Ovis aries: one gene and its partners. The protein of the gene in region 1 purifies or fractionates together with the protein of each later gene. This does not show direct contact. Links are inferred from orthologs where the notes say so. Each region holds a gene or a part of one and is shown in the gene's direction. Other genes may lie near its edges.

Region 1 (4,414 bases):
CACCTCTTCTTAATATCTTCTGCTTCTGTTAGGTCCATACCATTTCTGTCCTTTATCGGGCCCATCTTTGCATGAAATGTTCTCTTGGTATCTCTAATTTTCTTGAAGAGATCTCTAGTCTTTTCCATTCTATTGTTTTCCTCAATGCAATTTCTTTGCATTGATCATTGAGGAAGGCTTTCTTATCTCTCCTTGCTATTCTTTGGAACTCTGCATTCAGATGCTTATATCCTTTCTTTTCTCTTTTGCTTTTCACTTCTCTTCTTTTCACAGCTATTTGTAAGGCCTCCTCAGACAGTCACTTTGCTTTTTTGCATTTATTTTCCAATGGGGATAATAATACAATGCATAGTAATACAATACATTTTGTAGGCTATTGTGAAGATTAACTGAAATCAGAAAGGTCATCATTGGTGCAACATGTTTTCTGAGATTATATGTGTTTGAATACAAAGAGTTGGGTGGGAAGGAGAGAGAGAAAATAGCTTTTGCTAGGTACCTAGGCACAGTTTTAAGCACTTTCACAAGAACTAACTTTTTTAAACCTCACAATCCAATAGCGGGAAAGCAGGGTGGGTAAAAGCTCAGAATTGAGGCAGACTGCATAGTTTCAAATACTCCCATTTTACAACAAGTATTAAGTAGGGAGGTAGTAGGTACATCGCTGGGAGAGTAAGCAGAGAAATTTGGATTAAAACCAGGCTGACTCTAAGCAGTTTTGTCTTTAGTATGTCCCTTCAGGCAGTTCAAAATTTTTTGGCTGCCAGGGAGAGGTCTTGGATTTACTTATCCCATCACTATTTGAACTTTCCATGACTGATTTTAGTCCCTCCCTGGGAGTGGCTGATCTTTGTAAAAGACAAATCTAACTCCCTACTTGCTGCTGCTGCTAAGTCGCTTCAGTGTCCGACTCTGTGCGACCCCATAGATGGCAGCCCACCAGGCTCCCCTGTCCCTGGGATTCTCCAGGCAAGAGTACTGGAGTGAGTTGCCATTTCCTTCTCCAATGCATGAAAGTGAAAAGTCAAAGTGAAGTCGCTCAGTCGTGTCTGACTCTTCGCGACCCCATGGACTGCAGCCAACCAGGCTCCTCCGTCCATGGGATTTTTCAGGCAAGAGTACTGAAGTGGGGTGCCATTGCCTTACTCCCTACTTAGAATATTTCAATTCTTTTAGCGTTATCACCCAGTTTAATAGTTCTATATCTAATTTACATTATTTTCAAAGGCTACCTAATTTGTCTTTTTTTCCGTTTTTGTCCATGGTTTACTTGGCGGGACCGAGTCTTTAATGTCAGTATTCTCAACCCTCAGCCAGCACTTCGCCTAGCACTCAGTATGCACTCAATAAATGCTTGCTCAAAGTATGAATGAACCAAAGAATCGCGGAACACAGACGCGGAGACGGGTCGGCCTGGGAGTTCCAAAGTTCGGGAGGGGACAAGAGGCGGGCAGTGGCTGTCACATGATAAGGCGGGGCAAATCCCATGTGCTCCGCGGCGCCGGGCGCTGCTCCGCCCTCTGCGCCGGTCACGTGGGGCTGCCGGCTGCGCCTGCGGAGAAGCGGTGGCCGCCGAGCGGGATCCGTGCGGGGAGCCGGAAATGGTTGTGGACTACGTCTGTGCGGCTGCGTGGGGCTCGGCCGCGCGGACTGAAGGAGACTGAAGGTAAAGCCGCCATGTCCGGGCCCGACCCGGCCCCCCCACCCCCTCCCCCCGCATCCGCCGCCATCCGGGCCGGGATCGGCTACCCTGCGCCGCCGCCCCAGCGCCCTGGCCCCGCGGCCCAAGCCCGGGCCCCGGCCCGCCAGGGCCCGATCCCCGGCCCACGTGTGCCCGGCCTGGCTCGGCCTGGCTGCTGGGTGGGGGTGGGGGAGCGCGGGGCCGGAATATGCGGTCCCCGCAGGCCGGGAGGGCGCCGGGTTTCCCGGCCGCTAAGTGCCACCTCGGCCCGACCCGAGGAGGCCTCGCGGGCGCAGGCACCGCGGCTCCCGGCCCGCCGCCCCCTCCCCCCTTTGCGGCCCGGCCGCCGGGAAGTGACACGTTGTTCTTTGGCACTGGCCGGCGCTGCGCAGGGAGGGCGCAGGGGAGGGAGGCGGCGGCGGCGGGCAGGGAGGAGCCCCCGGCCCCGCCCGCCCTCCGGGCCGACCCTCACTTGCTTCAGACCGGCTCTTCTTCGGCCGCCGCCCGCCTGGCCTTTTACGGCCCGACTGCCGCCTTTCCTGGCCTCCACTGCCGGGCGGCGGCAGGCCTCGCCTCTGGCCCCGCGTGGGTGCCTCCGCTGCTACCCACGGCAGGCGTGCCTCGTGTGCCCCTGGGCCAGGCCCCGAACCCGGTGTCCCCGGGTGGGGGGTGGGGACACCACGGCCGAAGCTGCTAGCTCCGTTTGTGATCCGGGAGCCTGGTGCCAGCGAGACCTGGAATTTCCGGTCTGGTTGGTCTTGGGCCCCGCGGAGCCAGGTTGATACCCCTCACCTCCCAACCCCAGGCCCTCGGATGCCCAGAACCTGTAGGCCGCACCGTGGATTTGTTCTTAACCGAGGGGGTGAGTGAAGGGCTGTTTCAGCAGATCGAGGGGTGGTTGGAGGTGGTGAGGGTTTGACGGAGTGTTGGTGGGGACATAAGCTGGGTCTTTAATGTTCCTTTACCCCCTTGGCGCCTCCCGGGCTCATTGTGGGACCCAGCCCTTGCTTCAACCCCTCCCCCACTCCATTTGCCTTAAGTTTGTGTCCCTTTCCTTTTCTGAGCCTCACTCTTTCCCAACAGGTGCTGGGGGGACCCTGATGTGGCACCAAATGAAATGAACAAAGCTCCACAGCCCACAGGCCCCCCACCTGCCCCATCCCCTGGACTCCCACAGGTAATTAGGGAGGAATTAACAGGGACTGGGGTGGGGGTTGGGGAGACCAGGCAGCCGGGTCAGGAACAGGTTCCAACCTCTGGATTTTCCCACCCCCTTCTGTGTCAGGGCAAAGTGCAGCTTCCTGCTGCCAAATTGAGACAGGGCCCCCAGGCTGTTCCCAGGGGCTGTCTTGGGGAGGGTATATGTGGACTGTTGAGGCTCTTGCCACGGATCTGCTCCCCTTCATCAGCTTGAGTTTCTGCACCACCTGGGTTTCCCCTCTTGCTGAAATCTGGTCTCCCCCCTTCAGCCAGCGTTTCCCCCGGGGCAGACAGCACCGGTGGTGTTCAGTACGCCTCAAGCGACACAAATGAACACGCCTTCTCAGCCCCGCCAGGTGAGGGGCTGTGGGGAGGGGAGTAGGGGGCCTGGGTGGGAGCCATGTAAAGCTTAGGCCAGTTTGGGCCTAGGATGGAAACTCTGGAGGCCCTGTACCTGCCCCAGTTTCCTGACAGTTGCTATGTGTTCTTTCATGCGGCTCTGCACTTTGCACTGTTGATTACTCACGGTGGCTGGCCCCTCGGAGAGTATGTTGTTGGTGGGGATGGCATTGCTAGGGGTTCTGGTGCCTTGAGAACTGGGGGCAGCGCTTTGGGCCCTGCTGCCAACTCCTGCTTTCCTATTTCCTCCTTTTACTAGGAGGTCGCCATTGCTCCGTTCCTCATCCCTTCTTTCTCTTTGGACTGTGGGAAGAGAAACATTCCAGCTGGTTCTTACCTTTCTCTATTCCTAAATTCTTCCTCACTAAATGGGAGCGGATTCTTGTCCTGCCTCCTCATTTTTTTCCCCCTCATCACCTTGGGGATAATTCTCTTCTTTCCTGTCCCCATGTGCTCTCAGGGAGGATTCAGGTCTCTGCAGGTAATACCCCTTTGCTAATCCTGGACTCTCTCCTGGTCTCACCCTTACCCTCCTCCCTAGTCAGGGGCTAGACGCAGGGACTGGGGTTCCTCAGGGTGGGGACTTGTTGGTTGTCCAGGTCCTCAGTCTGAGGCTGACCAGTGCATGTTAGGGGCTAAATCTTGCATAGTGCCTATCTGGGAACTGGGAAAGTTGCATGTTAGCGGTTAGCTCCTCAGGACGTTAGGATGGTGCAGTGCATGCTGGGGAGTATGCTGCTGAAAAAGGCTTTACTTAGGCATGATGCATCTGGGTGTTAGGAAGCCTCTGCTAAAGGATAGCGTGGAGGAGGTGACATGAGTATGCATGGCAGGGAGGGAGTAAATATACCGAGTGCAAAGTGTGTACCTGAGTTTGGAGGGCACACGTGAGTTCAAGAGGCCACTTAACCATCAGTTGGTCAAGTGAGTCTTGGCAGTGTTGGTCCCATGTTCCAAAGCCCCTGGTACTTCTCTCCAGACTAGAGACATAGTGGAATGGCCATTTTGCTGTCCACTTCCTCCCCTGCCCAGTGCCAACTGCCTTCCTCCCTCCTGACAGCACTTCTACCCTAGCCGGGCCCAGCCCCCGAGCAGTGCAGCCTCCCGAGTGCAGAGTGCAGCCCCTGCCCGCCC
Region 2 (4,337 bases), on another chromosome or scaffold:
CTATCCTCTACAGGCTTCCAGAATAATCTTTCTCACAAGAAAATCTGGTCACATTGGGTCACCATTCAGAACATGTCAGCGCCTCACTCACACCCCACAGCCTGCAGGATAAAGAGCCTGTGCTGGGAATTCCCTGGTGGTCCAGTGGCTAAAACTCTGTGCTCAAGATACAGGGTGGCTGGGTTTGATCCTTGGTCAGGGAACTAGTTCCCACGTGCCACAACTAAGACTCTATGCAGCCAAATAAATAAAAATAAATATTTTTAAAAATGTTATATATGTTATATATATATACATGTATATATATGTAATATATATATAAGAGACTATGATCTTTAGTCTAGTTTTTAAAGTCCTTTATAATCTGGTTCCTGTCGGTTCCAAATACCCATGAATTGAGCACTTATCAAGTGTAGACACCCTGAGGGTGCTGGGGACCCAGAAGTGAACAAAGCAGGCAAATGTGTTTCTGCAGAAGTCTGCAGCAGTTTTTACCATTTTTTTCATTATCATCCCTCTAAAGGAGAAAAATGGAATTATCTTCCATTTAAATCAGTGTTAATCTAATTACATTTAATTTCTCCCTAACAATAGAAATTAAATGTTTAGAAATAAGATTTTGTCTGGGAGGGTTGGCTTTGGAGGCCACAAGTCATTGTCATCTCCAAGTTGGTTTTTTTTTTGTTTGTTTCTTTTTTGCCACAGAACAATTAATTTTGGTCCCCTTGGGAGTCATATCACTCCCACTGAGAATGCATACAGTAGAGGGAACGCTGGACAATAAGCAATAAATTAAAGAAAATGGAAAAGATTATATCAGGGAGCCAAGAATGTTACTAGGAATTCCCCGGTGGTCCAGTGGTTAAGACTCTGCACTTCCACTGCAGCGCCCAGTTCTGATACCTGGTTAGGGAATTAAGATTCTGCAAGCCTCACAGTGCGGGGGGGGGAGTTACTCAAGGAGGGAGAATAGTTAGGGGGTGACTTGATATCTTGATCATTTGAATCAGAAAAGTTATTTCCAGGCAAGGAAGACCAGTTTTGGTTTCTTCAGCTGAAAAATGGAAACGATAATTTCCTCCTCACAGTTCCTGCAAACAGTCAGAGCTATATAATTGAGCTTTATTGTCATTATTTTTAATTTTTAAAAAAAGTAAAAGAAAAGGTCCGGTGGTTAAGATTCAGTGATCCCAATGCAGGCCCTCCTGGTCCAGGAACTAGATCCTACATGCCGCAACTAAGACCCAGCGCAGCCAAATAAATAAATAAATAAATAAGATTTTCAGGTAAATGAGCCGAGCCTCTAATAGTAAGATACCAGGGCCCAGCCTCTCACATAGGCGGCGCTTCTACCTCCGTCCGTAGGGGGCGCTGTGGAGTGCTACGGCTGCTCTAGGCAGCGGAGCCGGAAGTCTCTTTCACCTCTTACTTCCGGTCTTTGGCCCAGGCTTGGGCTGCGTGGAGATTTTGCGATGCCGACCGGAGACTTTGAGTGAGTCAGGGGTCGTGGAGGGGGTTTGGTAAGCAGACCGGGGATGGGGGGCGGTCCTAGGAGTTAATATAGAGCCTGGGTGCGTTGAGGCCGCGGGAGCTGGGCCTCGCCTCACTCATCCCTCCTTTTGACAAACTTGTCCCCGCAGTTCGAAGCCCAGTTGGGCGGACCAGGTGGAAGAGGAAGGAGAGGACGGTGAGTCTACCTTGTCGCCTCGGATCACCGCAGCCCGGCCTCCCCCCGCCGCCCCAGGCCGTCACTGCTGCCTGCTCTGATCCTCCACCCTGGCACCGCCGTCAGACCCTGCATCTCCCCTCACAGCCAGCCCCTGCCCCGCGCCACTCTCATCTGGGCCAGCCTATCTCCAACTCCATACGTTCACCAGCCAGCCCATCTTCTGCCGTGCCACCGCCCAAGTCCTTGATGCCAGCACTTCTGCTTCCCTGCTCCTGGCAGGAAATTGTTTAACAGCCACACTCCTGCCTTTGTATTAATACTATTGCCCGGATGCCTGTGGCCCTCCCCTTCCCTCAGGCCCTCAGGCCCTCAGGCCCTCAGGCCAAGGATCCCCTTCCCCTTCTCATTGCTGGAAGTTACTACCGGCCAGCTCCGTGTCCCTGAATGGCTATCCCAAGACACTTCCTGGCCAGTCCTCTGCCCTTGGTCCCACCTTTCTCAGCTCCTGGTGCAGGCATCATCCCAAAGGTCCCTTGATTTCAGCTTGGGAGTTCCTGTCGCTGCCCACCCCTACCCCCCAGCTGACCCCTGCTCCCTCCACTCCCTGTCACAGACAAATGTGTCACCAGCGAGCTCCTCAAGGGGATCCCCCTGGCCACTGGGGATACCAGTCCAGAGCCTGAGCTATTGCCGGGAGGTGAGTGCCCGACTTCACTCCAGCCCTGGGCCGTCTCTCTCCCCAGCCTCCTTCCTTCTGGTCCCTATTACCCAGGGCTCAGTTCCTTTGTCTCTTCCTCTCTCCCAGCTCCACTGCCACCTCCCAAGGAGGTCATCAATGGAAACATCAAAACAGTGACGGAGTATAAGATAGATGAGGATGGCAAGAAGTTCAAGGTGAGGCTGGGGAAGAGGTGGGAGCCCTTTGCTTGAGGGGCACTTGGACTAGGGAGAGAGTGGTGTGTTGGATGTCTTGATGAGGAAGATCTGCTAGGAACCTTGAGGAGCAGAAGGCCCAAACGTTTCCCCTCCTATCCACAGATCGTCCGCACCTTCAGAATTGAGACCCGGAAGGCCTCAAAGGCTGTGGCAAGGAGGAAGGTAAGACCCTTCTCCCCCTTCCTTGGGGGCTCCTCCAGGGCTGACTCAAAGAAAAAATAGGAGTTCTTTTCCCTATTGCCTTCATTTTTAGAAGTGGGGTTTAACTGTTTGTTAAACAATTTCCTGGTGGCTTCCCTGGTGGCTCAGTGGTAAAGAATCTTCCTGCAATGCAGGAGATGCTGGTTCATCCCTGGGTCAGGACGGTACCCTGGAGAAGGGGATGATTACCCACTCCAGTGTTCTTGCCTGGAGAATTCCATGGACAGAGGAGCCTGGTGGGCTATAGTCCATAGGGTCGCAAAAAGTTAGACATGATTGAGAGACTGATGCTTTTTTGTTTCTTTCTAATTGTTTGGTTGCACCACACAGCATGTGGGATCTTAGTTCCCCGAGCAAGGCTTGAAACCACACCTTGTGCATTGAGAGTGCGGAGTCTTAACCACTGGGCCACCGGGGAAGTCCCCTGGGTGTACCTCTTCTGTTGGAGCAGAACTGAGGCCTGTGTGCAGTCCGTGGGGGCCCTGAAAAGTCCAGCAGGTGCAGGAGTGGGAGCGGAGGGGTTGGTTCTTACTTCTCTCGGCTTGTCGCCTGGGAGGAACAGAGCCAAAGCCCTCCTGTGAGGTGGTCGTAGCAGCAGAAGTGATGGCAGTAAATACGTTTTGCACAGTTACCTACATACTCGGTGTTAGACTCAGGTGCTTCGTGGGAAGTATTTTCTCATTCATTCCCCTAGCATTCCAGGGAGGTGTGGGGAGCATTGTGGTCCCTTATAGGGGAGGATGCCAAGGTACAGGTTGTTTAAGGAGCTCAAGGCCCCTGGAAATCTGGGTGATCCTGCACACCCCTGAGTATCACTCGGTGGAAGCTGGTCAGCCCCTGCCAGGGGTTGTTGGCTCTGGACCTGTTTACCCCTGAGCCTCAGTTTTCTCATCTGTAACATGAGGCTGAGAGCTGCCCCTACTCTTGGAGCTGGCATGGAGCTGGGGCCTGGCATGCCCTCAGGGAATAGCAACTGTCATCATCGCTTCTCCAAGGAGCATTTGAGGGCGGTGAATAGGGTTCAAGACTCACTCACCCTCAAGGTGGCTCTTGTTAAGTCTAGGGTGCAAATGGAGGGGGTCCCACTTGTCCTTGCCCTGACCTGTCCCCCATCCTGCCTTGAGCTCAGAACTGGAAGAAGTTTGGGAACTCAGAATTTGACCCACCGGGGCCCAACGTAGCCACCACCACAGTCAGCGATGATGTATCCATGACATTCATCACCAGCAAAGAGGTAAGTGTGGTGGCTGGCAGGGGGAGCCAGTGGCCAGGGTGTTACTGGAGGCAGCAGGGGAGCAGCTGAACTACCGTCTGAACTGCCACCACCTGCCCTGCCAGGATCTGAACTGCCAGGAAGAGGAGGACCCAATGAACAAGCTCAAGGGCCAGAAGATAGTGTCCTGCCGAATCTGCAAGGGTGACCACTGGACCACCCGCTGCCCCTACAAGGACACGTTGGGGCCCATGCAGAAGGAGCTGGCCGAACAGCTGGGCCTGTCCACTGGCGAGAAGGAGAAGCTCCCCGGAGGTG
Region 3 (2,724 bases), on another chromosome or scaffold:
TAGGATTGTTGTGGGGATTACAAGAAAATAAGTGTTGTTAAGTGCTTAGCACAGTGCTTGGCAGATAGTGTTGCTGCTGCTGCTGTTATTCAGTCACTGAGTTGTGTCCATGTCTTTGCAGCCCTATGGGCTGCAGCATGCCAGGGTCCTCTGTCCTCCACTATCTTCCAGAGTTTGCTCAGATTCATGTCCATGGAGTCAGTGAGGCTGTCTAACCATCTCATATTCTGCTTCTGGCAAATAGTAGCCATTCAGTGTTTTTTGGAAGAAGGACTAAATGGAACTGCTCTACTGTTACATGATGATTAATTAATAGGTGTCACCATAAGTGTGTGTTTTCCTAGGTGGACTAGCAGCGTTTATGAAACCTGCACACTTGGGCCAGATTGGGCTTGGTAGTGGGAGTAAATGTTGATTCAGGGGATACTAAGGCAGACCCCACCTGACCTCCCCCTCCTTCATGGGATGAGAAAGAGTCCAGAATTCTGGCTGAGCCTGGGGTGCTGGGAATGGAGCTGGTCAGAGCCTCCCTCTTCTGTCCGCAGTCTGGGGAGGTACTGGTGAATGTTAAGGAGCACTCCCGGCAGATCAATGACATCCAGTTATCCAGGGATATGACCATGTTCGTCACTGCATCCAAGGACAACACTGCCAAGGTGAGCCTGGGCAAGGAGTCTGGCAGGCCTGCTCCTACCCTCCCGCAGGGCTCTCATCTTCCCCCAAGAAGACTCCTTTTAGAGACATCTCCTCTGCCTTCTCTCTAGCTCTTCGACTCCACAACCCTTGAACACCAGAAGACTTTCCGGACAGAACGACCTGTCAACTCAGCTGCCCTCTCTCCCAACTACGATCATGTGAGGAAACCCAGACAAGCTTCTTGCTAAAGACTCCTTGTTTCCAGGATCTAGCTGTTTGTCTAGCAATTAAGAAAAGAGCTTTGGGGGAAAATAGTGTCAGGCAGAGAGGAGATCTCAGAGCAGGAACAAAGGTGAATGATGGGGAAGCTCTGGGGGCAGGGCAGGAGGTGGCTGAGGGATGTTTGTTCCTTACCCTTAATATCTTCCCAGTCTGATGTAGGAGATACTAAAGGCTTTTAGGGTTGGGGGAAGAAATGGAAAATGGACTTGCCTGCTCTTTGGACCCATCTAGAGTTTCTTCCCTTCAGGTGGTGCTGGGCGGTGGTCAGGAAGCCATGGATGTAACTACCACCTCCACCAGGATTGGCAAGTTCGAGGCCAGGTAAAGGGGGAAGGAGAGCTTCCAAACAGAAACATCATGAGGTGTCTCTCACAATGGCCAGAAACCGGATAACCAAGGAAACTTTCCTTAATTCACTGGCTGTTGGGAGTGCAGCCAGACTGGGGGCCCTCCTGTGACAAGTGTCTGATACAGTAGTTAAGAGCATGAACTCTTGGGCTCACTCTGAAGCCCTGCACATCATTGGAGTTGTCTATGCCCAATCACCCTTGACTGTATAATGGGCACAGTGATACTATACTTACCTCATAACAGTATGCAGATTAAATAAGTTAATAGTTGTGACGCTTTTAAGAGCACTGCCCAGCACATAGCAAGGAAGACATTTGGGTCCAGTCTTCTCCCAACTTCATCTTGTTTTGTTCTCATTCATTTCCCCCTTATCCCAGTTTCCCTGCTTTATAGTTTTGTTTGGGGAATGGTTCCCGTTGACGTGTTTTCGTAGGAGATGGGGACTGAATGAACTGTTGCTTCCCACCCTGCTCTTTCCTCTAGGTTCTTCCACTTGGCCTTTGAAGAAGAGTTTGGAAGAGTCAAGGGTCACTTCGGACCTATCAACAGTGTTGCCTTCCATCCTGATGGCAAGAGGTAGGGCCTGGTGAAGGGGGCTGAGCCAGCCCTGGTTTGCCCACCTCTGCTCCTTTCCCACGTCCTGTCCCCCAGGCCTGCTTCCCAAAGGGCAGGCCTCTGACTGGGCCCTGGCTGTCTCTTTGCAGCTACAGCAGCGGTGGCGAAGATGGTTACGTCCGCATCCACTACTTCGACCCACAGTACTTTGAATTTGAGTTTGAAGCTTAATAAGCCAGACCTGGGAATTCCCTGGCGCTTCCTCTACAGGGGGCACGGGTGATCTGCAATCACCACGCAGCCGCACACACACCCAAGGAAGCCGGACCTCCATCTGAGCCAGGGTCACAGGAGCTTTTGGACTCTATGAAATAAACTAGTTTGGAAATAAATGGTTTCTGGTCAGATATTTGATTGTTTTCCCTTCTCAGTGACACCCCAACCAGCTGATACCAATCATGGATGCCTTTATTATTTGGACCTTCCGCCTATACTTTGGACACTTCACATGTGGATCCAGGCTGGGTTGTAGGCACTCTCTTCCAAGATCCAGAGGTGCTGAGGGGCCTGGAGAGCTTCCAGGAACATCTCAAACACCATCTAAGGACCAGTACTTAGGGTCCAGCCTCAGAGGCTGAATCTGTTGGCTGAGAGCCTTCTGTCTTCTCCTGATCCGTCACTATTTGCCACACTTTCTCCCACGCTACCTCTGAAGGCTCAGGTGGACGGGTCCCGCGCAGAAACAGGCCTGAGGAGGAAGAGGACAGGTAAGGAAGCTGAGCAGAGGCGAGAACTCCGCCAGGGAGGAGGAGGAGGGTCACCTTGCCACAGTCGCAGGCTCTGGGGCTCCGCCGAGGGCCAGATAGCCAGGGGGTTGGGGACGTAGAGTGGGTTCCGGAG
Region 4 (4,187 bases), about 180 Mb from region 1:
CCACGCTTACCAAGTGCTCACTCACTGTCAGTCCGTAACCAAGTTCTCACATCTGGATGGCTGAGCTCTGACCTTGTGTTATCTCTGTGTGTTGGTCTCCCACCGCACCCCGGGCTGACCCGTCAGTACCTAAGGTCACCACTGGGTCAGCTCCATCACCTGATCTCCCCGTCCTCAGTGCACAAAGTCACATTCAGTAAAGGGTATTAATCATGATATCAAACAAATGAAGGACTAGGTTTGAATTCCTTCTCCATACACTAGAACATGCAAATGTTCGCTTATAGAGGATCTGGGCAGAGTTGAGACTCAGATATTGGGGAAAAAAGAGAGTGGCAGCTTTAGACTGGGGCAAAAATAGGTATCCAACCAAAAAAAAAGAATCTTTAGTTCATTTTTAAGAATCCAGTGTGTTCTTATGCCATCCAGCAAGCAGACATTCCAGACACAAGAGGAGCCCAGTGGGGTATCTGTGCCATGTAAATGCCTCCTGCCCCTCTCCCCACTTGCTCCCCTCCAGCACCCCTCCAGAGTAATTTCTGCAGCCCATCTGTCTGCCTTGGCCCTCCTACTGCAGAAGTCCCCCACCCTCCCTCCCTCCCAGGGAAGAGCCTGCCTACTGGTCCCTGGGCCTGGGACCCACAGAGTGCATTCTGTGCTTCTGCAGGGAAAAGAACCCAGGTGGAAAAGTAGGGGATGCAAAACAACTCTTGAGGGGTTTGGATCTGATTAGAAGAAAGGAAGGAAAAAAGATGTTCCAAAGTGGGAATAGCTGGAACAAAAATGTGGGTGGGTGGGGGCAAAGGGTGGGAATGGGATGACTTGGCCCAGGAGTGAGGAGTATCTGCCCAGCCTGAGCCAAAGCCCCAGAGCTGGTGGGTGAGGTGAAAGTCTGATCTGAGCACTCTTGGGAGCCAGTCCTTTGAGTGCTGAGGTAATGGTTCCCAAGGCGTTCGTTCATTCATTCAGCAAATGGGTATTAAGTGCCTGCTGTGTGCCAGGCACTCTGCCAGGAGCTGAGGGTATGGGAGTGGATGGCAGATCTGACCTCTAATTGAGCTCAGCGACAAGGGAAACACAGAAGATTCCAGGAGGGCAAGGAAACCACCATTATCCATCTCCAGACAGAGCTAGATAAAATGGGTTTGTCCCCATTTTACAGTCAAGGAAACTGAGGCTGCCTCCTTGACCCTAAGAGAACCAGCTCTTCGTCCTTTGGTCCTGGGAAGCTGGGGGAGCGATATGGACTTTCCGGAAAGGCGAAGGTATTGGGAGGGGGGGTCCTCTCTCCCCGCCCCTTCCCCGCCCCTTGGCCGCAGCGTGGCGGGGCCGGGAGGGCCTGGGCGGAGCTGGCGTCGCCTTGGGGGCGGAGGGCGACAGCGGGTTCGGCGGGGCAGGCAGGCGGACACCCGAGACCTGCACGGCCGGGAACCGGCGGGAGGAGAGGACCACGCGCTGGGGATGTGACTCCGCGACCAGAGAGGACTCGCGCTAACCCACCCGGCGGACCCCGTGAGTGAGATCCCCCGGCGCCCCGCCGCGCACACAGCCCAGCCTCTCTTCCACTTTCATTTCTTCGGCTGTCCCGGCCTGGCACCATCCCCAGACGACCTGCGCCCGGAGCAGGCTGCCCACAGCCCTGGTTCCGGGGTCCGGGACTCGGAGCTGGAAAGTCAGGGTGGGGTGGGGGCGCGTCGGTTGAAGAGGGCGTGTCTTCGCAGGCGGAAATTTCAGGCCTGCTCTTCTGGGTCCTACTACCCATCTGTCCCGGCAGCTGGGCTGGGGAGATGGCGGCGTCAGGTGTTCTGGGAGAGGCTGAGGAGTGGTCGTGGGTGGCCGAGCGCCACGGGGAGGAGCTCGGAGTCCTCGCCTCGACTTTTCTCTTGGATTTCTGCTCTCAGCGCTCCCGCCCACCCCCACCTCGCTAATACACATCGCTCTACTCTAGGCTGGATTCTGGTTTCCAACTGGGGCCAGGATCCTGGGTCAGGACTGGAGGAGCGGCAGGTGTGGCCCTGGCAGGGGCTGAGTGTCAGAAGCAGGCAGGGCTCCTCTGTGGCCTTTATTTGGGAAACCCAGATGCCCACCCAGGGAGTGAGCCATCACTGGCCACTCTAGGAATGAAAGGACATCCAGAGTTAGGAAACGGGGCCCAAGAGGGGGAATAGCCGTGGTTCCAGGGAGGGGACAGAGATTCTGTGAGATAAGAGACTCACTGACTCGATGGACACGAGTCTGAGTGAACTCCGGGAGTTGGTGATGGACAGGGAGGCCTGGCTATTGCGATTCAGGGGGTCGCAAAGAGTCGGACACGACTGAGCGACTGAACTGAACTGAACTGAAAGGGATGAGAGTGGGAAGTGAAAACAGACAAGTGGCCTGGATACAAGGGCGTCTATCCATGTCCCCTCCCTCACAAGCTTTCATTTCCCCCGGGAAAGACCCAGGCATTGACATTCTGCAGCAAGAAGGTGGGACCCTAGCTCCCTGGTTAGGACACCCAAGTTGCTGTGGAGTGTGGGGGAGGCACAGTGTGTCGGGGGAACAGCAATTAAGTTGGTCTAGTGGATGGGAAGATGCTCCCCTTTTCCTTCACTCCCCTCCTTTCTCCTTATCTCTACCAGACCAGCGGCACGCAGCTAGGGCAGGAAAATGGCCCTTGACCAGTTGTCATGCCCCACCTTATCCCAGTGTCCCATTGTGCCACTGGAGATCCCCTGCTTGTGACTTGCTGTGTGAACCCAGGCTCCTAAAGTCCTCTTATGGGGCCTCAGTTTCCTCATCCATTCAAGAAGTGAGTTGGGCCAGTTGATTTCTCAGGGCTATTTCAACTCAATGATTCTTGCTTTTGAGCTTTCCACAAAGCCTGAGCATCCAGTATGTACCAGGCCTGACCTAGACTGGGAGGTGAAGCCGGTGGAGGACAAAATGACCAAAGAGTAGTCTCCACCCAAGGACAAAGAGATCAGGGTGCAGTAGAGGAGGCTATGGGAGGAGGCAGTGTTCAACTTGAGGGCGGGAGTTAAGCCCAGGGACCAGTGTAAGAAAACATACAGAAGCAGGAGTTGGGGAGCTGTTCGTGGATCAGGAAGAAGCCCAGAGTGGTGGCTCTAGGGAAGTGGGGCAAGAAAGCTAGGATGAGATGTTGAATGCGAGAGTAGGTTTGTTGGTAGCTGTCAGTGAGGGGGGATGTGCAAAGGTGGAGAGCCCAGGGACCCAACTAATTGTAGTGTGATTTTGGAAGCTCCTGCCCTAAGAATAAGGTGAATTTCTTTTTTTTTTTCTTTTTAAAAAAATTTTCTTGGCCATGTCACATAATGTGTAAGATCGTAGTTCCCTGACCAGAGATCAAACCCACGCCCCTTGCATTGAAAGCGCAGAGTCCTAACCACTGGATGGGTTCCCCAAGGAACCCACAGGAAAAAGTTCCCCAAGCAGAATTTAGATGCAGGGGCATATGTGAAGTATGGAAATATCTAGGGTCAGGAAGCTTGGGTCCCACACTGAGGACTTATTTGGGTGAGAAGTTGAGGGGTAGCAGATGGATGACCTGCCACATCTTAGAGGATTTTTTCAAGACAAGATCCTGTGGGGAGACCTGCCCCTACTCTCCAAACTCCTCTCATTTTACTTGACTTCTGCCCTTCTGGCTGTGTGTTATGTGCACAGAGAGGAATCCTTGTTTCAAACTTCTCCACTAGCTTGACTTGTTGTCTGACGTGACAACCCACATGTGCCTTTGGTTACACCCAGTTGTCACCTTGTTCCCACCCTCCTTTCCCCAAACCTGACCCAGTATTACTCGAGATGTGAGAAAGGAAAATACTCCAGTGTGAGCTCTGAGGTCAAGGTGTGTTTGTGTCAAGGCCTTTGTGGCTCTTTTTAAGGCTTAGTCTGGGTTAGCATTCAGGACTCAAATTGACCAAGGTCAAGGCCAGGTCAGAGTTCAGCCTGGAGCCAAAGCTGAGTGCTTAGCCTACTCTCAGGCTTAGTGCTTGGTCTGGGGTCAGGATCACAGTTCATGTGGCTAAATTCCAGTGGGTACCTGGGTCCCTGCATTTCCCAAGAGCACAAGCACTCACGGGAAAATGAGGTGATTACCCTGGAAGTCCCAGGAGCTTGGCCTATGAGTGACCCAGGAAACTGCATGGGCCAAATCCCTCCCTGCTGCAGGGGTCACCCAGCAA
Region 5 (3,622 bases), on another chromosome or scaffold:
CATTCAGTGCCTTCGTTTACTTTCCATGATACTGTGAAGAATAATCCTGTTTCAGTTCAGTTCAGCTCAGTCAGTCAGTTGTGTCCAACTCTGCAGCCCCGATGGACTGCAGCCCGCCAGGCTTCCCTTTGCATCACCAATTCCCGGAGTTTACTCAAACTCATGTCCATCAAGTCGGTGATGCCATCTAACCATCTCGTCCTCTGTTGTCCCCTTCTCCTCCTGCCTTCAGTCTTCCTCAGCATCAGGGTCTTTTCCAGTGAGTAGGCTCTTCTCATCAGGTGGCTAGAGTATTGGAGCTTCAGCTTCAGCATCTAGTCCTTCCAAGAATATTTAGGACTGATCTCCTTTAGGATTGACTGGTTTGACCTGCTTGTTGTCCAAGGGCTCTCAAGAGTCTTCTCCAACACCACAGTTCAAAAGCATCAGTTCTTCGGCACTCAGCTTTCCTTATGGTCCAACTCTCACATCCATACATGACCACTGGAAAAGCCATAGCTTTGACTAGATGGACCTTTGTCAGCAATGTCTCTGCTTTTTAATACACTGCCTTGGTTTGTCAAGAAGCTTTTCTTCGAAGGAGCAAGTATCTTTTAATTTTATGGCTGTAGTCGGTGTCCACAGTGATTTTGGAACCCAAGAAGATAAAGTGTGTCACTGTTTCCATTGTTTCCCATGTATTTGCCATGAAGTGATGAGACTGGATGCCATGAAATTAGTTTTTTTGAATGTTGAGTTTTAAGCCAGCTCTTTAGTTCCTCTTGCTTTTTGCCGTAAGGGTGGCATCATCTGCATATCTGAGGTTATTGATATTTCTCCCGGCAGTCTTGATTCCAGCTCGTGCCTGGCATTTCGCATAATGTTAAATAAGTAGGGTGACAATATACACCTTTGATGTACTCCTCCTCCAATTTTGAGCCAGTCCATTTTCCATGTCTGGTTCTAACTGTTGGTTAATTGTCATTTATTAGATTGAGCCTATGAAATTGCCAATATGTGACTGCTACATATAAAAATGATAATTTCATATGATTCAACCTAATCTAACTTATGACTATAGCTGGTATAGCAATAGTTAAAATGCTTACTTAGATTTCTTTTTTTCCTTCGTTTTGTTTTTAAGATCCAGATAATTTAAGTGACTCTCTCTTTTCTGGTGATGAAGAAAATGCTGGGACTGAGGAAATAAAGAATGAGATAAATGGAAATTGGATTTCGGCGTCTTCCATTAATGAAGCTAGGATTAATGCTAGGGCGAAAAGGCGGCTGCGGAAAAACTCATCCCGGGACTCCGGCAGAGGTGATTCCGTCAGTGATAATGGAAGTGAAGGCCTTAGATGTGGAGTAACTGCACCAACCAGTCCAAAGGGAAGGTTGCTGGATAGGCGATCTAGATCTGGGAAAGGACGAGGATTACCAAAGAAAGGTTGGTATATATCTTATACAAAGAAATAAAAGGAAGAGATGCTTTCTGATTCTTGTACTGCAATTTATTGTTCTAAGAATGAGAGGAATTTAAGCAATGATAATGTAAGGCTTTATGGTTTGTATGTATTTTTACATAGTAATAATTCAAGGATCACCCCACTCTTTAAATTGAGCCTTTTTGCTTGTTTGTTTAGGTTTAGCTATCTTAAGCAGAACTTTGTCTCATATTTCCAGCAAAATCATTTTCACAGTTATGACTTGTGCATGTATTCTCTAATTCTGCTTGAAGTAGGGTCAGAAATTCATCATACCTATTATCTAATGAATCTAATTAATTATGTCTTGTTAAGAATACGTGATAAATACGATTTGACTCTTAATATCAGGGTCAGAATTTTAATAATTTTGTAGATCTGTTTCTAAGTTCTTTTTAGTTCTGTTTATTTTGGGTACTGATATTGTTTTACTGCTGTATCTCCAGGGCCTGGAGTAGTGACTCCAAGGGTAGGTACTTACATGATTGTTGACTTGAAGGGTCTTGTTAGCCGCTGTCTGTGGTAGAATTTTGATGCAGTTTGGAGATTTCACTTGCATCTAAATGGTGGAAGCATCAAATTATGGCCTAGGATTCTTGTAAAGTTTTTGTACCTTGTCAAAAGTTGTCATTGAATGACTCTGCAACCATGGGCTGGATCAGAATGAAACCTAACTACCAGATTTGTTTTTGCTCTGGTGGTAAGAATTATACTCAATGTGTAAATAATGCTCCCCGCCATGGGTGATAAAGTTCTTTTAAAATATTGCAACATATTGAGCCTTATAAAAACATTTCAAGACATTTATTTAGTAAAGCAACTTTGAAAGTTGGAATTGTTAAACTTCTGCTGATCTATTTGTTGGTAGAAAAATAGAAATGATTAATTCGGTTAATGCTTATATAGAAATCAGTTATTTGTAATATATTTCTGGCTGTAAAGTATTTGTTACTGGTGGGCTTAGAGGGTTGCAGTCGGACACGACTGAGCACACGCACATGAATATCTAAAGAGAATTTGACTTTAAAACATTTGATGGTGGTCACCATACTTCTTTGCTGAATAATTTCTCTGTTGTTTTCTATGTCATCTCTTAACTGAATCAGTGTATTTCTTTTTGTTGTTCCCAAGAAATGTCAGAATTCAGAGCCCAGTTGTTATCAGCTGCCTTGAAGTTACCGTTACAGCTATTTTTCTGTTTGTTTGTTTGTTTTGTTTTTTACTTTTATTTTAAAGCATCTGACTTTTTAGTTTTAACTTTGTGAGCTGTTTCAACTTGGTTTTTTGGAACTAGGTTATAAATATATCTAATCATTACTGGAAAAGCAGTGATCTGAATAAAAAGTTTACCGTATAATTCTCAACTGGCAAAAAAAAACTGGCATAAAAATTAAAATACAGTTTTTTAACTGCTCCTTAATTAACACCTGAACATCTAGAACTATTTCAGATTTCAATTAAAATTTATGAACTGTGGACATTATGCTGTTTCCTTTCTCAATTCTAAACTTTTTCAGGTGGTGCTGGAGGCAAAGGTGTCTGGGGCACTCCTGGACAGGTGTATGATGTGGAGGAGGTAGATGTGAGAGATCCCAACTACGATGATGACCAGGTATGAGGGTGATACTTTTTGTGATATGTACTTAGAAGACTTGCAGACTCTTTTGACCTCATGTTTGTAGCATACTCATATATTGGTCAAATCATCTATTCTATATTTGTATTATTCATATACATATAATTTTATTTATATGTGTGATTATCTGCATGATTATATAATATGTATATGAGTTGTATATAAGTGTGTACACATGTTACATCCATTCGTATATATATCTAAATCGTATGTATATTCAGTACTTTCAGACTATTAGGTTAATTTTGGATTAGAAAACCAAGTTAACTGAGTAATGTATATGTAATTTTCACTTGATTTTTAAATTTAATATTTGGACATGGAAATGTTTCTAAGAGAACATGAAAAAAATATGTTTTAAAATCAGTAGGATTCAAGTACTGTAAAATGTTTGCTAAATACTCTAATTTTATTGTATAAACTTGAAAGTGTTTGTTGTTAGATGAAGCCAGTCACACGTTGCAGGCAAACACTTCAGGACTTTTTTTGCCAAGGACAGGGTTAGAAGATTTTTGGACTTCTT
Region 6 (4,317 bases), on another chromosome or scaffold:
CATTATGAGGTCCTGGCACCAAGAACCTTTTAACTGATCTTTCTTTTCCATCAGTGCAGGTGTATAACCCACTCTCCATCCAGTAAACTGAGTAATCCTGTTGTTGTCATCACTGTTGTTTAAAGTATGACCTCTATACACTAAGCGCACAATTCTTGAGTGTACAATCTGAGGTACTTAAATATACACTTATGTAACCATCACCCATATCAAGATAGTAAGTAACCCTTTACAAAACTATTTCAAGTCCTCACACTCCCCTGCATAAAATCTTTCCACGCTTTCCCAGTCCACTTGGAATAAAATCCAAACTCCTAAACCTGATTCACAGAGCCTCACATGATTGAACCCCAACATATTTCTCAAACCTCATCTTTTACCGCCCACCCCCCTTCCGGTCACCAAACTGAGACTCAAACTTGCCAACATGTTCCTGTCCTGGAGCATTTGATCTAGTTCCTCAGGGGGTTGGCTCTCTGTAACTCAGATCTCAGTTCACATGTCGCTTCCTCAGAGGCCTTCCCTGACCATGCAATTTAAGTTGCACAAAATCAGTTTTATCAAATTACCTTAATTACCTCTAGAGTGCTTAACATTTCTAATATTTCATTTAATTACTGCTTATTGTCTGTCTTTCCCTCACTGAATTATATAACATGCTTTGGAGTTTTATTCTCCAGTTATACCCAAAATGCCAATAAAAGCGCCTGACACGTGGTAGGAGTGCAAAGCAAATTTTCATTGAATGAACTACTACCTATGGGGTTTCCCTGGTGGCTTATTGGTAAAAGATCGTTCTTCCCATGCAGGAGACGTGGATTCCATCCCTGGATGGGGAAGATCCCTTGGAGAAGGAAATGTCAACCTACTCCAATATTCTTGCCTGGGAAATTCCATGGACAGAGGAGACTGGCGGGCTACAGTCCACCGGGTCTCAAGGACAACCTGGCAACAAGAGGAAGCGCAGATAGCATTAGACGGTGAAATCCTAAGGGCCTGAGTTTGAATTTAGTTTGCAAAACGAAGGATTAAAAGACTTTTAGTAAAAGACCATGGCAAGTAAGTGATGAATGTTACCTTCTTTTCCTTCTAAACATCCCCAATTAAAACCATCCTTAAGCAGAATGGTGGTTTATTTTGCTTTAACAAAAAGCGATTTACAAAGAAACTCAGAATCTTCCCAGGAAACCAATTGGGGCACGCCAATTCTGGATTCCAGCCCGCCTCCAATCGGTGCCAGAGAGGTGGAACTTGACAACGCCGCACCACCCCTTCCGTTTACCGCACAGGCAGGAAGTCTGCGGCTCAGGAGACCCCGCCCCAGGCTGAGACCTGCCCCTTGTCCGCGCGTCGCCCTACGTAAAGCGTGAGGGGTTTCGCGACAGCGCAGGCCCCACCCCTTTGGCCACATGTCGCGCAGGTCTTCCCGTCGGATGCCGCGTCACCTCCTCGCGCTGCTTTACGAACCTAGAGGAGCGCCGCCCCGCCTCCTGTGTCCCTCCTTAATTCCCCGACCCCTCCCAGTTTCGCGTCTCCTAGCCCGACGCGCTCGCTCTAATCACGTGACTGCCTCATCCGGGTCCTTTGCGTTCTCTCTCCCTCTCCCAACATGGCGGCCTCAGGTGAGTGAGCGGCCGAGTGCGGCCAAGGACCAGGCTCCGAAGCGACTCTCCGAGCCTGATCCACTGATTCTTCGGAGTCGGGGGGTGGGCGGCACCTCTTCCCTTCGGATTTTGGGGCTGCGGCAGGCTGGCGGCTGGGCCATGTTAGGTTATTGCCTCGGGATGTTTGGGGGGAGGGGAAGGACCTTCCCCTCCCCCCTCACACCCTTTTCACCCCATCTGCGCGAGGTTGGACTGGGGAGTAATGGTAGACTCTGGCTTGAGTTGGAGTGAGGAGGAGGCGCAGAAAGATCAGCGGGAGATGTAGGCCTTCTCATAGACGTGAAGCAGTGTGCCCGCGTGAAAGCGTGGAGGAAGGAAGGAGGCGGTTGGCGCGCGGACGGGTGCACTCTGAACTAGGTCTCCAAGGCGCGAGGCCGTTGCGGACGGGAGTGGGGGCAGGGAATAAAGGGGGGGCAGTTAGAACCCGAGCGCGAGTCGCTGGAGGGGCGGAGGAAGGTGGCGGTGCGCGTGCGCGGTCGGAGAGCCTAGGGTACTGGAGACTGGCGCGCCTGAAAAGCACGCGCGAGAGTCCAGATGGGAAGGTTTTACTCGCCTGTGTTGCTTTCTCTTTAGGTCCTTCCACTTTTTGCTCTTCCCCTTCTAGAGTGTGATCCGGCCCCTATGTTCTTCCAAGGGTAAATGTATTAGGTTTGGAGGTTGGCGCTGCTAGAGTTAAGACGGGGGTAGGGAATCCGGTGTGATGCGCCCACGTGTTGGAGGAGAGGAAACAGGGTGGAGACCTAGATTTCTTCTGGACTTTTTCTTACTCAGTCAACACAGTTTTACTTGAGTGTGAACTGTATATTTGTCAGGCATGCTTCTGGATATTGGGGATCCAGTGGTGACCAAGATCAGAGCCCTTGACAGCTTCCGTTTTGGTTGAGTTTTGATAGCCGCAGCAGTAGGGTAGGGCCTTTTTCTTTTAGGGTAACTGCACAACTGCTAGGAGTTGCTTTTAGAAGAATACTAGTGGCTGGAGTTGAATTCTTGTTTAGAATGAGAGGAAATATCACTTTCATGTAAGTCTGCCTGCACTTCTGATGGACTTAGTAGAGAGTTGTGCCAACATTTTGTCAACAGTGATTTTAGAATGGGGGATATGATCTCTTTTCCCTGGTGTGAGCCTACATTGTACAAAACATTTGTTGAACGACTTATCTCTGAACACTGATTTCTCACCAAGAATTTCTCTTCTCTCTTACATAGAGATGTATGCCTTTGGAAAATATTGAGGAAATTAACGTGCAGTTGAGCATAATACCTTTCACTAGCGTAGCACTTGACAATTGACCTGGCACTTTTCTGTGTGTGGTCTAATTTGATGTTCTGTGAGATAGGCAGATGTTGGTTATCTCCTGTGTGAGGAATATGAAAATTACTCGTTCAAGGTCACTATCTGCAGATGGCAGAGTAAGGTTGCAATCTTTGAAACTTCTCGTTCTTCTCCCATTATCAACTTGGGACTAACAAGGTTGGTTTATCATCATAAGTTTGGGATGCTGCCCAGGAGCTTCATCTGAAGTATTTTGGCCTGAATTTGCCGTCCTGGTGTCTCAGTGTCATAATTAGTGAAAAGCCTGTTTTCCTTTTCTGTATAACTTGTGTGGAATTTTTTTAGAGGTGAAAGACGCCGATAGCATTGTGTAAATAAAGTCCAGACTAGTAAAACAGATGTGCTTAGTGAGGTCTCTTCTTCCACTCTACCCAATTGGAAGCCCTCATCTCCTTTAATACAGTTACATGAATCTTTTAGCTTGTGTAATACATATAAGGGACACTTATGCTGGGGTACAATGGTACATCTGACAGCCCTTGAGAAATTATCAAATTTCTTTCCCCACTTTGGATCTTTTCCCATTGTATTGATTTGGTATATAATTATATTAATACAGGCCCACTGTGTTAATGGGTCTATAAAATTAATCTATTTTCAATATACTTCTTGATGGCCCCTGAAAAAACATCTTATATTTTCTTTGTGAAGAAACATGATAAAACTTAACAGGCCTTTTACTTTTTTTTTTAATTAGAGGAAAATTGCTTTACAATGTTGCGTTGGTTTCTGCTGTACACAGGTGAAACAGCTATAACTGTACATATATCCACTCCCTTTTACTTTTAAATGAAACCAAAAAATTCTTTGCAATAATACAGTATCCAGTGTGACTAATTACTGAACTTCAAGAACTGGAGGTGTCCCAAAGCTAACTATTGCATCTGTGTCCTTACCTATAGGGGATCAAATGTGTTTGACATGGGTTAGTGGTTTGTGAGACTAGACTGCCTTGGGATTGTTAACAGTGTACCTGTGTGCACACAAGGCCTTTTATTTGCATAACACTTCAGAATGCCATTATATGTGGCATCTTGTTTGATTATTTTTTATGGTAAGATAGTGTCCAATGGTGGTTTTCATAGAGTGCTGACTCCTATAGTTAAAAACGGTTTCACTGGTTGCTATTATATGCAGTTCATGTATTACCTATCTTCATACCCCTTCCTGTACCATATGTTTGTTACTCTGGGAGTAAGATACCCAGATTCAGAAGGTGAAAGTTAAAATGGCTTATGAAAATTTAAGTACAAATACAAAGAGAAGTATCAAGGTAAAACACTGTATTTCTAAGTAATGCCACTTTTAAAGAATGTATAA
Region 7 (3,622 bases), on another chromosome or scaffold:
AGATCCTGTGTGAAATATTAACTGTACATTTTTCTCATTTTTAATAGTCTTAAGTAATGCTGTGAAATGGTTCCATTTTGCAAGTCAGAAATCTAGGACTTGGGAAGATTAAATAGCTTTCCCAAGGTCACAGCTAATAAATGCTAGAGCTGGAAACCATTCTTCCTCTTCCTGCATGACCCCTAGAGCCTGTTTTTGTGCCTTTCAAGAAATGGAGAGATCTTTTATACAGAAATGTGTGCGGTTTATGCACGTTCTCCACTTCACAGTGTTGAAGGTCTGCCGGTCTAGTTGGTGTCCTGCAGTAAGCTCTTCCCTGCTGACTGCTTGCTGTTCTTGAAGGTCTGGATCTTAAACTGGTGTAAAGTCTTTCTGAATCCATTCATCACAGAGTCTTTGCTTCATGTCTGTTCCTAACTCATGGTTTTAATAATTAAGCTGCTGATATGAGAATAATCTTCTTGTTAAAATATGCCCATAAGCTTTGGAGTTTAAATCTTGGTTCTGCCATTTCCTGGATGTATGATCTTTAGCCATTTACTCAACTTTTCTCTGCTTCAGCTTTCTTATTTGTAAAATGAGTATAATATAATGCTTTTTCCTGAGGTACTTATGAGGATTCCATGATTGATAATACCAGTATAATAATTAGAATACTGCCTGGCACATGATGTTCAATAATTGTAACCTGTATTATTAACTGGTTACTGATGATTTATTTCTATCAATAATATACTTGTTTTAAATTAAACACTAATCAGTAAAACTCTAATTCCCATTTTGTTCTTAGACTTATTTTTCCCTCTGATAGCTTTCCATTGTATTTTAGACTATATTGCCCTTTAGTCTTTGGGCCACGTCCTTGTACTGAATAATACAGACTGCTTCTGTTAATAATACTATGTGCCAAGCACTGTTCAAAGCCCATTAATATATTAACAGTCTCATGTTGTAGGAATTATTATTAATCATGACTGTTACTGTGAACTTTTAAATTAATTGCCTATTCAGTCATGCAGTGTACCTCTTCATTTTAATGGCAATATTAAAGGAGAGAGTAAATAGAAGAGCTGGCTATTCCATTAGAGGTTATTTGGTATATCCTTATTGTTGAGAAAAATTAGGTAGTGTTGGTGACTGGGCTGTCATTATGTTCTCTGTTACCAAGCAAGTTCTTGGATACGTGTTCCTGTTGTTGCTTCCTCTGATTAATGAGATGCTCTGTGCAGGAACCATCTTGAGGTGTTGAGAGTTTGTCAGAGGGTTCTGTTTTTAGATGTTCAGATAATTGAGATCTTTATCTCTGTGTCTTACTGATATTTTTATCATTTGTGGCAGGATATTGCTGTTAACAAAGGTTAGCAGGGTCACTTTCTCTGTAATAGTCTCAGGTTGAAGTGGTAATGTTAGATTCAACTGAAGGAATTCTTGGATGCCAGACCTTTAAGCATCTTTGACTTAAAGGTTGTGAGTGTTCTACATGGACACTTTTTAGAATATAATTTTATTTACTTATTTTTAATCTATTTTTGGCTGTGCTGGGTCTTTGTTGCTGCTCGGACTTTGCTCTGGTTGCGGTGAGTGGGGGTTGCTCTCTGGTGCTGTGGGGGGCGTCTCATTGCAGTGGCTCCTTTTGTCGCAGGGTACAGGCTTTAGGGCACTCAGGCTTCAGTAGCTGTGGCTCTCCAGCCTAGTTGCTCCATGGCATGTGGGATCTTTCTGGATCAGGGATTGAACCTGGATCTCCTGCATTGGCAGGCAGATTCTTCACCACTGAACCACCAGGGAAGCCCACATGGACATTTCTGACAAGTCTTCAGATTCCAAGAGTTTCAGGTGTACATTTAGACTATGTAAGATTTTTTTTTTTTTTTTATGTAAGGGTAAAGGAAATGGTTTGTAAGAAATTTGGTCAGTTCTGTCATATAACTATGGGTTCATCAGTATAGTTTTAGTTTTTCTTTGAAATAAAGGAAGTGTAAACTGTAAGAGTGATATTTAAACTTTTATTTTTTTCTTTTAGGTGGTATTAAAGATTATCAAACATTACCAGGAAGAAGGACAAGGAACTGAGGTGGTTCAAGGAGTGCTTTTGGGCCTTGTTGTAGAAGATCGACTTGAGATTACCAACTGCTTTCCTTTCCCTCAGCACACTGAAGATGATGCTGACTTTGATGAAGGTAAGGGTATTCACACAAATGGTTATTGATCCAGTGTTCGCCGTAACCTTTGATAATTGTTACCGGGAGTTCATCAGAGTAACCTAGTTCTCCATCTCTTGAAAAAGATTCTACAGATTCTCTGAAATGAAGTTGTATTATCAAAACTTGATTAGTTTGGCTTTTAGTTATTCGGGATTTGTGATTCTGATAATTTGGGTAGGAGCTGTGCTGATGTTAACTTTCTCATTGTGAAAGCAGCTTACCAATTACAGTGTGAAGGACAGAAATCGTTGCTATGTCCCACAACCATTTCCTTCCGTAGTTTTTTGACTTACTGTTTAAGAAGAGATGAGTTGTCTACTTGAGAAAGAAGATACTCCTTGAGCATTTCAGAATCTTTGTGCTGCAGGGGTAATTGCTTTGTTAGCGAAGGCCAATAGTAAGATCCTACCAAAGGCCAAGGTCAGCATCCTAAAGGATTTTTAAAAAAATCTAGTTGAAAATTAGGTTGTCCGAATTCTCACATTCTTGTCAGCACTTACTTGTTGTCTTGTTGATGATGGCCATTCCGACAGGTGTGAGGCAGTCTCTCATTGTGGCTTTGATGTACATTTTCCTAATATTGGTGATTGAGCACCTCTTCATATGCTTGTTGGCTGCTTTTATGTCTTCTTTAGAAGGTGAAATGTCTTCTCAAGTCTTTTGCTAATTTCTTAGGGCTTTGTTGAAGGAGTTCTTTATATATTCTTCATATTTACTCCTTTTTGTATATATAGTTTGCAGGTATTATCTTTCACACTTTTGGTGTTTCTTTTGTTGCACAGAAGCTTTAATACAATCCAGCTTGTCTATTTTTGCTTTTGTTTCCTGTGCTTATGGTGTAATCTCCAAGAAATCATTGCCAAGACCAGTGTTATGAAGGTTCCAGTATTACGAAGTTTCTTCCATATATTTTCTTCTAGGAATTACATGCTAGTGCTGTACTCTTTTGATTATTGTTGCTTTTATAGTATGTTTTGGAATCAAGAAGTGTGAGGTCTCCAACTTTGGTTTTCTTTCTCAACATTATTTTGGCTATTTAGGGTCCTTTGATATTCCATAAGAATTTAGATAGATTTTTTTCCTATTTCTGCAAGAAAAAGAAAAAAAGAAAGAAATTTCATTGGTACTTTGCTAGGGATTGCATTGAACCTGTAGATCACATTGGGTGTTATGGACAGTGTAACGGTATTCAATCTTCCAGTTCAGGAATACGAGATGGATGTCCTTTCCTTTTGTTTTGTCTTTCAGCAATGTTTTGTAATTTCCAGCATATAAGTGTTTTGCTGCATTGTTCCTAAGTATATTATTCTTTTTGATGCTATTGTAAATGTGATTGTTTTTTAAATTCCTTTCATTCATTTTATTGATCACTTTTAACTTTGGTAAAATGTTATCTCATTTGACTTCATGTCCTCATA

The links.
Region 2: the proteins of EIF4G1 (region 1) and EIF3G purify together in Homo sapiens (affinity purification with mass spectrometry; 3 studies listed by BioGRID, with this or other methods). This does not show direct contact. The link is inferred for Ovis aries from reciprocal best matches to the Homo sapiens genes EIF4G1 and EIF3G.
Region 3: the proteins of EIF4G1 (region 1) and EIF3I purify together in Homo sapiens (affinity purification with mass spectrometry; 5 studies listed by BioGRID and IntAct, counting the BioPlex papers as one, with this or other methods). This does not show direct contact. The link is inferred for Ovis aries from reciprocal best matches to the Homo sapiens genes EIF4G1 and EIF3I.
Region 4: the proteins of EIF4G1 (region 1) and MKNK1 purify together in Homo sapiens (affinity purification with western blotting; 3 studies listed by BioGRID and IntAct, with this or other methods). This does not show direct contact. The link is inferred for Ovis aries from reciprocal best matches to the Homo sapiens genes EIF4G1 and MKNK1.
Region 5: the proteins of EIF4G1 (region 1) and PDCD4 purify together in Homo sapiens (affinity purification with western blotting; 3 studies listed by BioGRID and IntAct, with this or other methods). This does not show direct contact. The link is inferred for Ovis aries from reciprocal best matches to the Homo sapiens genes EIF4G1 and PDCD4.
Region 6: the proteins of EIF4G1 (region 1) and EIF4B fractionate together in Homo sapiens (co-fractionation; 4 studies listed by BioGRID, with this or other methods). This does not show direct contact. The link is inferred for Ovis aries from reciprocal best matches to the Homo sapiens genes EIF4G1 and EIF4B.
Region 7: the proteins of EIF4G1 (region 1) and EIF3H purify together in Homo sapiens (affinity purification with mass spectrometry; 4 studies listed by BioGRID). This does not show direct contact. The link is inferred for Ovis aries from reciprocal best matches to the Homo sapiens genes EIF4G1 and EIF3H.

What each region holds. Positions count from the first base shown.
Region 1 is NC_056054.1:203,656,378-203,660,791, reverse strand, and holds the start of EIF4G1 (eukaryotic translation initiation factor 4 gamma 1), read left to right. Parts: upstream 1-1,597; 5' UTR 1,598-1,666; intron 1,667-2,486; 5' UTR 2,487-2,543; intron 2,544-2,764; 5' UTR 2,765-2,798; coding exon 2,799-2,858; intron 2,859-3,150; coding exon 3,151-3,237; intron 3,238-4,340; coding exon 4,341-4,414.
Region 2 is NC_056058.1:12,527,529-12,531,865, reverse strand, and holds the start of EIF3G (eukaryotic translation initiation factor 3 subunit G), read left to right. Parts: upstream 1-1,422; 5' UTR 1,423-1,472; coding exon 1,473-1,492; intron 1,493-1,640; coding exon 1,641-1,687; intron 1,688-2,282; coding exon 2,283-2,366; intron 2,367-2,474; coding exon 2,475-2,563; intron 2,564-2,707; coding exon 2,708-2,767; intron 2,768-3,935; coding exon 3,936-4,040; intron 4,041-4,144; coding exon 4,145-4,334; intron 4,335-4,337. UniProt on the Homo sapiens protein: RNA-binding component of the eukaryotic translation initiation factor 3 (eIF-3) complex, which is required for several steps in the initiation of protein synthesis.
Region 3 is NC_056055.1:235,303,192-235,305,915, reverse strand, and holds the end of EIF3I (eukaryotic translation initiation factor 3 subunit I), read left to right. Parts: intron 1-545; coding exon 546-656; intron 657-764; coding exon 765-854; intron 855-1,165; coding exon 1,166-1,239; intron 1,240-1,752; coding exon 1,753-1,845; intron 1,846-1,973; coding exon 1,974-2,055; 3' UTR 2,056-2,216; downstream 2,217-2,724. Other genes in the region: myotubularin-related protein 9-like, read right to left, coding at 2,439-2,572, 2,646-2,724. UniProt on the Homo sapiens protein: Component of the eukaryotic translation initiation factor 3 (eIF-3) complex, which is required for several steps in the initiation of protein synthesis.
Region 4 is NC_056054.1:21,167,986-21,172,172, reverse strand, and holds the start of MKNK1 (MAP kinase-interacting serine/threonine-protein kinase 1), read left to right. Parts: upstream 1-1,345; 5' UTR 1,346-1,512; intron 1,513-4,187. UniProt on the Homo sapiens protein: May play a role in the response to environmental stress and cytokines. Appears to regulate translation by phosphorylating EIF4E, thus increasing the affinity of this protein for the 7-methylguanosine-containing mRNA cap.
Region 5 is NC_056075.1:30,964,593-30,968,214, forward strand, and holds part of PDCD4 (programmed cell death protein 4), read left to right. Parts: intron 1-1,123; coding exon 1,124-1,426; intron 1,427-2,980; coding exon 2,981-3,075; intron 3,076-3,622. UniProt on the Homo sapiens protein: Inhibits translation initiation and cap-dependent translation. May excert its function by hindering the interaction between EIF4A1 and EIF4G. Inhibits the helicase activity of EIF4A. Modulates the activation of JUN kinase.
Region 6 is NC_056056.1:133,421,393-133,425,709, reverse strand, and holds the start of EIF4B (eukaryotic translation initiation factor 4B), read left to right. Parts: upstream 1-1,407; 5' UTR 1,408-1,609; coding exon 1,610-1,622; intron 1,623-4,317. UniProt on the Homo sapiens protein: Required for the binding of mRNA to ribosomes. Functions in close association with EIF4-F and EIF4-A. Binds near the 5'-terminal cap of mRNA in presence of EIF-4F and ATP.
Region 7 is NC_056062.1:60,694,487-60,698,108, forward strand, and holds part of EIF3H (eukaryotic translation initiation factor 3 subunit H), read left to right. Parts: intron 1-2,023; coding exon 2,024-2,180; intron 2,181-3,622.